Linked DNA regions of Caenorhabditis elegans. The protein of the gene in region 2 interacts with the protein of the main gene of each other region in a pairwise test. Each region holds a gene or a part of one and is shown on either strand. Other genes may lie near its edges.

The links. Proteins that work in one complex are often made in the same cells at the same time.
Region 1: the proteins of fog-2 (region 2) and gld-1 interact in a two-hybrid assay, tested with the Caenorhabditis elegans proteins (2 studies listed by BioGRID).

What each region holds. Positions count from the first base shown.
Region 1 is NC_003279.8:7,693,844-7,698,753, reverse strand, and holds gld-1 (Female germline-specific tumor suppressor gld-1), read right to left. Parts: upstream 3,074-4,910; 5' UTR 3,059-3,073; coding exon 2,870-3,058; intron 2,819-2,869; coding exon 2,617-2,818; intron 2,571-2,616; coding exon 2,433-2,570; intron 2,388-2,432; coding exon 2,263-2,387; intron 2,218-2,262; coding exon 2,101-2,217; intron 2,053-2,100; coding exon 1,909-2,052; intron 1,864-1,908; coding exon 1,651-1,863; intron 1,608-1,650; coding exon 1,344-1,607; 3' UTR 532-1,343; downstream 1-531. Other genes in the region: T23G11.10 (uncharacterized protein), read right to left, coding at 1-157, 209-318, 363-453; T23G11.4 (Hepatocellular carcinoma-associated antigen 59), read right to left, coding at 3,586-4,229, 4,334-4,412. UniProt on the Caenorhabditis elegans protein: RNA-binding protein which recognizes the 5'-UACUCAU-3' RNA consensus sequence. Binds sequences in both the 5'coding and the 3'-UTR region of rme-2 mRNA. Binds sequences in the 3'-UTR region of cye-1 mRNA. Binds to cyb-2.1, cyb-2.2 and cyb-3 mRNA.
Region 2 is NC_003283.11:20,197,502-20,201,186, forward strand, and holds fog-2 (F-box domain-containing protein), read left to right. Parts: upstream 1-1,760; 5' UTR 1,761-1,792; coding exon 1,793-1,833; intron 1,834-1,964; coding exon 1,965-2,042; intron 2,043-2,089; coding exon 2,090-2,729; intron 2,730-2,779; coding exon 2,780-3,004; 3' UTR 3,005-3,139; downstream 3,140-3,685. Other genes in the region: ftr-1 (F-box domain-containing protein), read left to right, coding at 1-440, 490-675.

The DNA of each region.
Region 1 (4,910 bases), on a different chromosome or scaffold from region 2:
CAATTCTCTCTTTTTTATATTCATTCAACGCATTGACCACCGGTTTACTATATTCACACTTTTCAGAAAACATCATTCTTTTACATTCTTCCTCTTTTCTAATTCCTTTAAGTCCTGCAATAAAATCATCGTGCATATGCCAATTTTGAACTGTGCTCTGAAATATTATTATTTAGACGATCCTGATAAAATAACCGATAACAAATACCATTAAATGACGCCTCCGGACGTTTTTTTGTTTCTCAATGTTAACCGAATTGTTCACCAGGAGTAAAAGGAAAATTAACATAATTGCAGCTGCAGGCCATACGAAAAGTTCTGATAATTTTAACTGGCGATTTTTTTTACAGAACATCACATACTGAGTAATTCGATAACTCCATCAACTCTTGGATTATCATCAAAATCCTCTTCGGATTGGAAACAGTTTGAATCCCTGCTCACGTGAAACATTTGAAGAAATGAAAATGTTTCTAACTAATGTTTCCTTTTTAATCGTTTTAAAACATGAACTGGAAGAAAAATTGAATAAAAACTATTTTTTATTATTTTATCTCGCCCTGTATTTCAATTTCAAAATTCAAAATTTTGGTCTCAAAAACAGGGTACCGAGAAAATGGTCAATGTGAAAGACTGCTAAAAATATTAGCTCTTGGACTTGTGCTTAAAATTATAATGGACAGATTGGGAAGGGGTAGGGGTTTAGAATGGGGACTTGGGGCTGGTTTGATGGGGATGTGAGATTTGAACATATCTAACTAGCGGGAAAGAAAATTAAAATCTCAAGTTACTAAAAATTTAGAAAAGATGAAAAATTTTTGATGACTACATCAAACCGGGAAGATTCTACAGGGGTTAGCGTTAAGATAACACAGAAAAATAAAGGGGGTGCTTTGGCATTCGAGGTAGTATGAATGGGTAGGGGAATAGCTGCATCAATAAAAGTATCAATGAGTATTCTCCAAAATGGTTATCCTGATAAGATGTTATTACCGGGGCACCTGCCGTTTTTCTCTGATGTTAAAATATCTTTTCAAGATCTGCGAAGAAAGGGAAAAGATACTTAAAAATCAAAGAGCATATGGTGAAAGCAGCAGGGCGAGTTTAAATTACAGAAAGGAATTAATGGTATTAGGTATCTCATTACATAATTATTACTAACTGTATGTGTATGCTATTCCTAAAGGAGTGAGATGGTAGATACCAATTGATGACATGATAAAGATGGGGGAGATGAGAGGGGGAAAAAATGGCAACATGATGTATGGCACATGATTCTATGGTAACCTAAAATGGTGAGAACGAACAAAACAAAGGGAGTGTGAGTTATAAATGTGAACTTTTTAGAAAGAGGTGTTGTTGACTGAAGAAGCCGAGGGACTTGCTCCACTCGGGGACACATTGGTGTTTGTTTGATTGGCAAAAGAAGATGCAGAAGTGAAAAGACCAGGGAATGAGTTGACAAACGAAGTGGTTGTTGGGTACTTCGGGAACGTCAAATCACTTGCAAGTTGAAGAGAGCTGAATGAATCAAACATGCTCGGGCTCAGAAGCGAGTAATCGAAGACGTTAGATCCGAGAAGGTTGGATGCAGTGAGAGTGGGGCTCTGAAATTAAAAATATGAAACTTAAACTGAAGAACTGTTCTACCAAGATCGATCCTCCAAATGTCGTTGACGGGAGTCCTGATCCAGGAGTTGGCGACATCAAAACTGGACCTGAACTACGTAGTGGAGTTGGAGAGAGCAGAGGAACTGCAGTCATCACACGAGCTGGGTTTGGCGACTTCATTGGACGATACGTACCGTTGATGATTGCAAGTTCCATAAGTTGTTTTCTCTTCAGCTCGTCAGTTCCCTCGGGCTGAAAATAGGTTATTGTAGAGATTTTACGAAGCATATAACTCACAGCCGGAATGAGCAACTTCTTGACCTGTTCGAGTGCTGCTTGCAATTTGATGTGAACACGATTCTCAGTGTCTTCGCATTGCACAAGAACGTGCAGATCGTCTTCGAGATGCTCCCAATTGGCCTTTCCACGGTGAGCACTTTCCTTCAACAACTAAACTTTGTTTTAGATAAAATTGTAACAAGATCAAACCTTTGACTTGTCCCGCATTGATCCCTTTCCTCGGACCATAATCTTGCATCCAGTGTCCTGCTCAAGCTGCTTGGCGGTCATCCCACGTGGGCCGAGAATTCTACCGACGAAGTTATACTGAAATGTTTTAGTTGTTCGAAAACTTGAAATTCGTTAAATTACGTCTGGGTATTCGTTCTTTGGAACATAAATCTTCTCAGTGATCGAAATCATGTCTCCAGCAGGCTCAGGAAGCTCAACTCTCGGAAACTCAGTTTGGAACAAAGCCACGCGGACACGACCGATTTCTAAAATAAAATAATTACTTGTAGGAACACAGAGCGGTTATGTACCATCATCCAACAAACGTTCAACATTGCTGAACATATGAGGAAAGAGCGTAAGATGTTTCTTCTCTTTAACCAGATCAGCCAAGTACTCGACAGTTGCCTCAACCTCGATTGGTTCTGTAGCTGTTGGAGAGAACAGGCCTGAAGAAATTACAGAAAAATAAGTAGACATGAGATTGTTTCATACTCTTGTCCATCGATGATTTTCCATAACTCATTGGAGTTGCAGGAAGAGTCGGGGAAAAGATACTTCTGCTCTTTGGATTGAACATGGCTGGCGACAAAAGCGAATTAGGTGTTTGACTGTAAGCGCTCGAAATCGGGGACATGATGTGTCTGTTGTTCGTCGATAGCGTCAGACGAGCTGGTGGTGGCGCTCTAACAGAGCTCTGAAAATTTTTTATTACTGTAATTGATGAACAAAATGAAAATTCGCGTACCCATCCGTCTCGCCGAGTTGACGGCCAACGATCCGCTGGAACATTGTCGATGATGGGGAATCTCTTCCGTGGACTATTGTCTCCATCCAGAGACGTTGGCGTCATAACGGACGAACGAGATGGCGATTCAGAGCTTTGGCTTTCTAGTTGGGTCGAAACACCGTAAGTTGGAGTGGTGCACGACGGCATTCTTCGATGGTTAACCTGTAAGAAAACTTAGTAATAATATATTTTTCAATAACGTAACGACATAAGCTTAAACTCTGCGGCGATTCGCTCATCTAGCTTATCTAACGAATATTCACTAGAATTTCGGAATGAAACATTCGAGGAAAATGTGAAAGTGGTCATATTCAAATAGAAATAATTATTTCTAAAATTTTTAGATGAAACGAAATATAAAACAACCAAAAAGCATCGAAAAAATAAAACTCTAAAAAGTTTTGAGGTGAAGTCCTAAATTTCGAAACTTTTACCGTATACCTGTTTGCGATCGCTGCGAGACCCATACGTCGCGGTGCAACATGTTCCTTTAAGTTCCAGAAATGCGCGCACGGGTGGCGAAACGGCAGGAATTGGCCACGCCTATTAAGCCGTGCGCTGATTTGCATGAGGCTTTTCAGAATTTAATTGAATACTTTCAATTCAGAGTTTTATAAAATGAATCGAATTTATTTAAACAGGAAAATAAATAAAAAACACTTGTGTATCTCAATTTATCGACGCTGGTTGTTGAAACGTCTTCGATATTTTGGTTTTGATTCTTCACATTCTTCAATTGGTGGTGGAAGACCTGCAGCTTCAGCAGCAGATATTTGAAGAAGGAATCGTTTTTTCTTTTCAGTCTCCAAGATATTGGTGATACGAGTGCTAATTCCCAGGTCCACTTCTGGGATTCCTGCGAGCATATGCTCTGAAAGCAATTCTGTCTCCTTTTTGCTTTGATTTCCCTTCACTTTTCCAGCAGCTTGTTTCAAAAGCTCTACATCACGATCTTCTGCATTCAGCGATGAAAATTTAGCTGCAGCTGATGAAGAAGGTTGTTTCTGTTTTTCAATTTTAGAAGTATCAGCTGTATATTCTTGAAGTCCGTCATCAATATATTTCCTTAATTCTTCATGTTCATCTCTCAGCATTGTTTCCTTCTCGAATTGTTCTCGGAGTCCTTGTTCAATGCTTGCAGCTTCCATTGCTGCCTTCTTTTTACTTGTCATCACCATTCCGCCACCAGCCATTTGAATTCCATCCTCGAGAGCTGCAGCTTTTGAAATTCCAACTGCGCATTCTAATTCTGTGAGACCATTTTTCCTTTCTCGTGATCGTTGAAGATCTCGAATATCGGAAACTCTTGACGACTCTTCTGGAAAAAAAAATTTAGAACATTAAAAATTTTAATGCATGTTATGCTCTTAAGTTATCATTTGCTTTAAAAACAATTATTTTATCAGATTAAAAATTAAATACCATCAGCAGCAACGTCGTCGTCTTCTAAAATTTTCCTTTTTTGAATTTTTGATTTTGGTTTTCTGAAGATATCGGCCATTGTGTTCGTTGATGCTTAAAGTTTAAAAATTAAATAGCATTCAAATTTTAGAAAAAAGTTTTCAAAGTGTAAATGTAACATTTTTCTGAATCAGAACAGTTTTTCAAATAATCAAACTGTGTGAGATTGTTGGATGCAATAAAATTTATACATATCTGGTCACATCGGTACAGAAAAACTGGGATTACTGAAAAAGAAGTTGTGAAAAAGTTTTGATTTTGTGAAAAACAAGACCCAAATGATAAAAAATTATCAAAAAAAGTGAAAACAAATGACATGAAAAGTGAAGATGGTAAAGAGAAATTATGCCCGGATTTTTTGTGATTAAAGTTAACAAAAACGAATGATAAAGCTAATATAAATGTCAAAAAGAAGGGGAGTGTGAGTTAGGGGTAGATATGGAATATGGAAAATATGCACATTTATTGACTTGAGGAAGGAAAAGACTAAGAATTATTGATTGATTCCACTTAATTCTGCAAATGTGCCCTATTGATA
Region 2 (3,685 bases):
AATCTATTGAAAAGACTCAATTGAACGCGATTCTGGATGATTTGGCAGTAATTGTGAAGAATCCAAAACTTCGATTGGATAATTTTGTTATCGTCTCTTCATGTGGAAATTCAAAAGAATTTGTGGAGTGGCTTAGAGAGATCACCCAATCAGGAAGTCTGCTCCACACAAAAAGAATCAGGGTCATTGATTGCCCTGGAGATCTGCTCGGTGTCCTTTCTCACTGCAAGCCTGGATTTCTTGAAGCCATCGAATTTTACTGTTTTAACTCTGGAAAAATCGATGAAATTACCAATTTGGAACAGTGGAAACGTGCTAAATCGATTAATATTGACAGCCGTAGATGCGATGATATTCCCATTGAGCACTTCTTCCATTTTTCTCGTTTTACCATCAGAATGGGAAAACTATCAGTTCCTGATGCAATTAAAATTAGAGATGTTAGTTTAAGCTGCTAAACCATCAAAAAAAATCATGGACTATTTTCAGGATCTGATGAAATCCGCTCACTTCGAATACGGAATAATCGATATCTATGATGAACTGACTCCAGAAGCTGCACGAGTTTTCAATCCGAATTTCATTGCTCACAATCGCGATGGTATTGAGAACAAAATCGAGCAGTTTCTTCTCACAATTTATAGAAAACGTTTGGAAATCAAGAAGATCGATTAATGTTACCTATTTCTTACCCTTTTTGTTGTTAAATGCCGAGTTAAAATAAATTACTTTCTGTTAAAATTGTGATGTACCTTGATTGTATTGCTATTGTTCTTATTCAAATTTTTATTTATTGAATTTTAATTTGATTCAACGATCGACGGGCAGGAAAAACTAATAATCATCATTTTTGACAAAAAATTCTGAAACCAGACGGAAGATTACAGAAATCAGCTCATTTCTATGGAAATGTTATGCATTCTCGATGATTTTCCAGCTGAAAATCAAAATTTCTAAAAATCATATTATTTTCGAAAATTTTGTCGGAAATCTCACGAGAAACTAGTCATTTTCTACAATAAATTAATCAAAGACGGGTTATTCGCATCGTTTTAACGATTTTTTGTATTTTTCTGCTTCTTCCTTGAGAAATTAGCATTTTCGTGTAGGAATCGATTTTCTGAAGTCAATAAATTATTCTCAGTGAAATTTTGTGAAAGTTTTCAGCTTATTTCTTCAAATTTTACTGATTTTGGTCAAAAAATTTGAGATTTCCGATAAAGTTCCTTAAAATATTGTGTGTTTGGTGGATTTTCCAGTATTTTAAAATAGAATTACCATTTTTTCGTTAGATTTTTACCAATTTCACTAATTTTTTAAAGATTTCAATGTAATTTTTCGGTTTTTGAGGGAAAAATCATGAAAATTGCAAAAAAAAATATTAAATTTTCATAGGACTACTGTAGAAGGTACGCAATACACAACTGCGTACTCGGCATTTAATTTTACGACAATCAATATTTTCGAAACTCATTTTCTCCCGTTTTTTCCTTGAAATTGCATAATTTAAGCTGTTTTTTTTGTAATTTAAAATTTTCAGATCATCTTTTTTCGATTTTTATTCAAATTTTCCTAATAACCTTTGGATTTTTTTGTAAAAATTGCATTAAAACATCAATTTTCTAGAATTAAAATAGGTACTTGCTCGAAAAATGCGTAATTTGTAGTCAAAGCTTCGCTTCATGCTCTTTGTACTCTTTTCGTGGGGTTTCTTTACAATTGTGATTGAATTATGGTAATAATTTGTCGTTTTTTTGCAGAAAACGCCGGATTTCAACCAATCGAAACGAAAATGAGTGAAAATTTGACGGATGAGTTGGATTTGATGAAAATGTATGTTTTAGGCAAGGATTACAATTGAAAATTTGTTTGAAACGTCAAAAATCCACTGATTTCTTACGCGATCTCTTATGATGCTCCCAGCAATCAAATTTGAAGAAAACTCATAGTTTTTATAATTTCAGCTCCGGTCCTCCATCATTCTCTGACATGCCAATGGAGACGGTTTATAAAATTGTGGGAAAAGTGGATCCATACAGCAGGTATTATCGATTTTTTAATTTAATAACAATTTTAATTAAAAATTTAGATTGGCAGTCCGCAAAGTGTGCCGAAATTTGCGAAATGTCATCGATGACACTGATCCTGGCTTCAAGTATGTTAAGGTGGATCTGTCCAGATACGCCTCTCGTCTTTGGTTGACCAATATCGGACGCGGCGCAATTTGTTATTCTCGAAATTCAAATGATCCTGGTTGCACTGTCCGAAGAACTTCGCAGAGTAAATCTATCGAAAAGACTCAATTGGATGCGATTCTGGATGATTTGGCAGTAATTGTGAAGAATCCAAAACTTCGATTGGATAATTTTGTTATCGTCTCTTCACATGAAGCTTCAAAGCAATTTGTGGAATGGATTAGAGATATTGCTCAATCAGGAATTCTGCTGCACACAAAAAAAATAAAATTGGACATTTTTCCCCTCAAAGATGTGTTCGGTGTCCTTTCTCACTGCAAGCCTGGATTTCTTGAAGACATCGAATTTTACTGTTATGACTCCGCTGGAAAAATGGATGAAATTATCAATTTGGAACAATGGAAACGCGCTAAATCGATTAATATTGAGGGACGTGTATGCGAAGATATTCCCATTGAGCACTTCTTCCATTTTTCTCGTATCACCATCAAATTGAGAAAACTATCAGTTTCTGATGCAATTAAAATAAGAGATGTAAGTTTGAAACTACTAAAATATAAAAATAAATCATGAATTATTTTCAGGACCTAATGAAGTCAGCTCATTTTGAATATGCATACATCAAGATTATAGAAGGAGTCGACCCAGACGTTTTGAGAGCTATCAATCCAAATTACCATCCATATGATGCTCTCGATCCTTTTGAACACGGAAATTATACATTTCGTATCTCAAGTGACAGTCTGTTTGATTCAGCTCTAAAAATCGAGAAGGTTTCAATTACAGAAGACGACCTGGCCCTTTTGTGACGTCTTTTCTGGACTGAAAATGAGCATTTTTTGTTGAAAATCAATAATCCTGTTGATGTTTTTTTCCCGTATTATTCGATTAAATTTACTTTTTAATTTTGTTGTGTGCGAAAATCCAGATAAATTGGCATGATCACTGCTGTTTTAAATGTTAAATTGATTTAAAATCTCAAATAATATCTATATTTACTCCATTTTCCACGAGAGAATATTAAAAATCATGCCCATGATTTTTAAAATTCATTTAAAATCAAAAATGTATTTTATTCACGCGGTTTTTGAATTATTTAATGTTCAAAAAACAAGAACCATCCGAGAATTTGCCGAAAATTAAATCAAAAACTCGAAAAAAATGATTTTTTGATTCAAAAACGTATTTCTCACACCATTTTAGAGATTTTCTGACTGAAAATCAATTTTTTCGTTCTTTCTCCGATGCTTTCTTCAGTAATTTCGCATTTTCCGGTTAAAATCGATATTCTGAAATGAAAAACATAATTTTCCGCAATTTTCCATCGATTTTCAGCTAAATCCGTCTGGTTTTCACTTGTTTTGAGCTAAAATAAAGTCCCCGTGACATTTCCTTCAAAATTCGTGTTTCTTATGGATTTTCCAGGGTTTTGATGCGATCTGCATTTTTTTGAGACGAAAATTCAAATTTTCGATCCATTTTTCACTGAT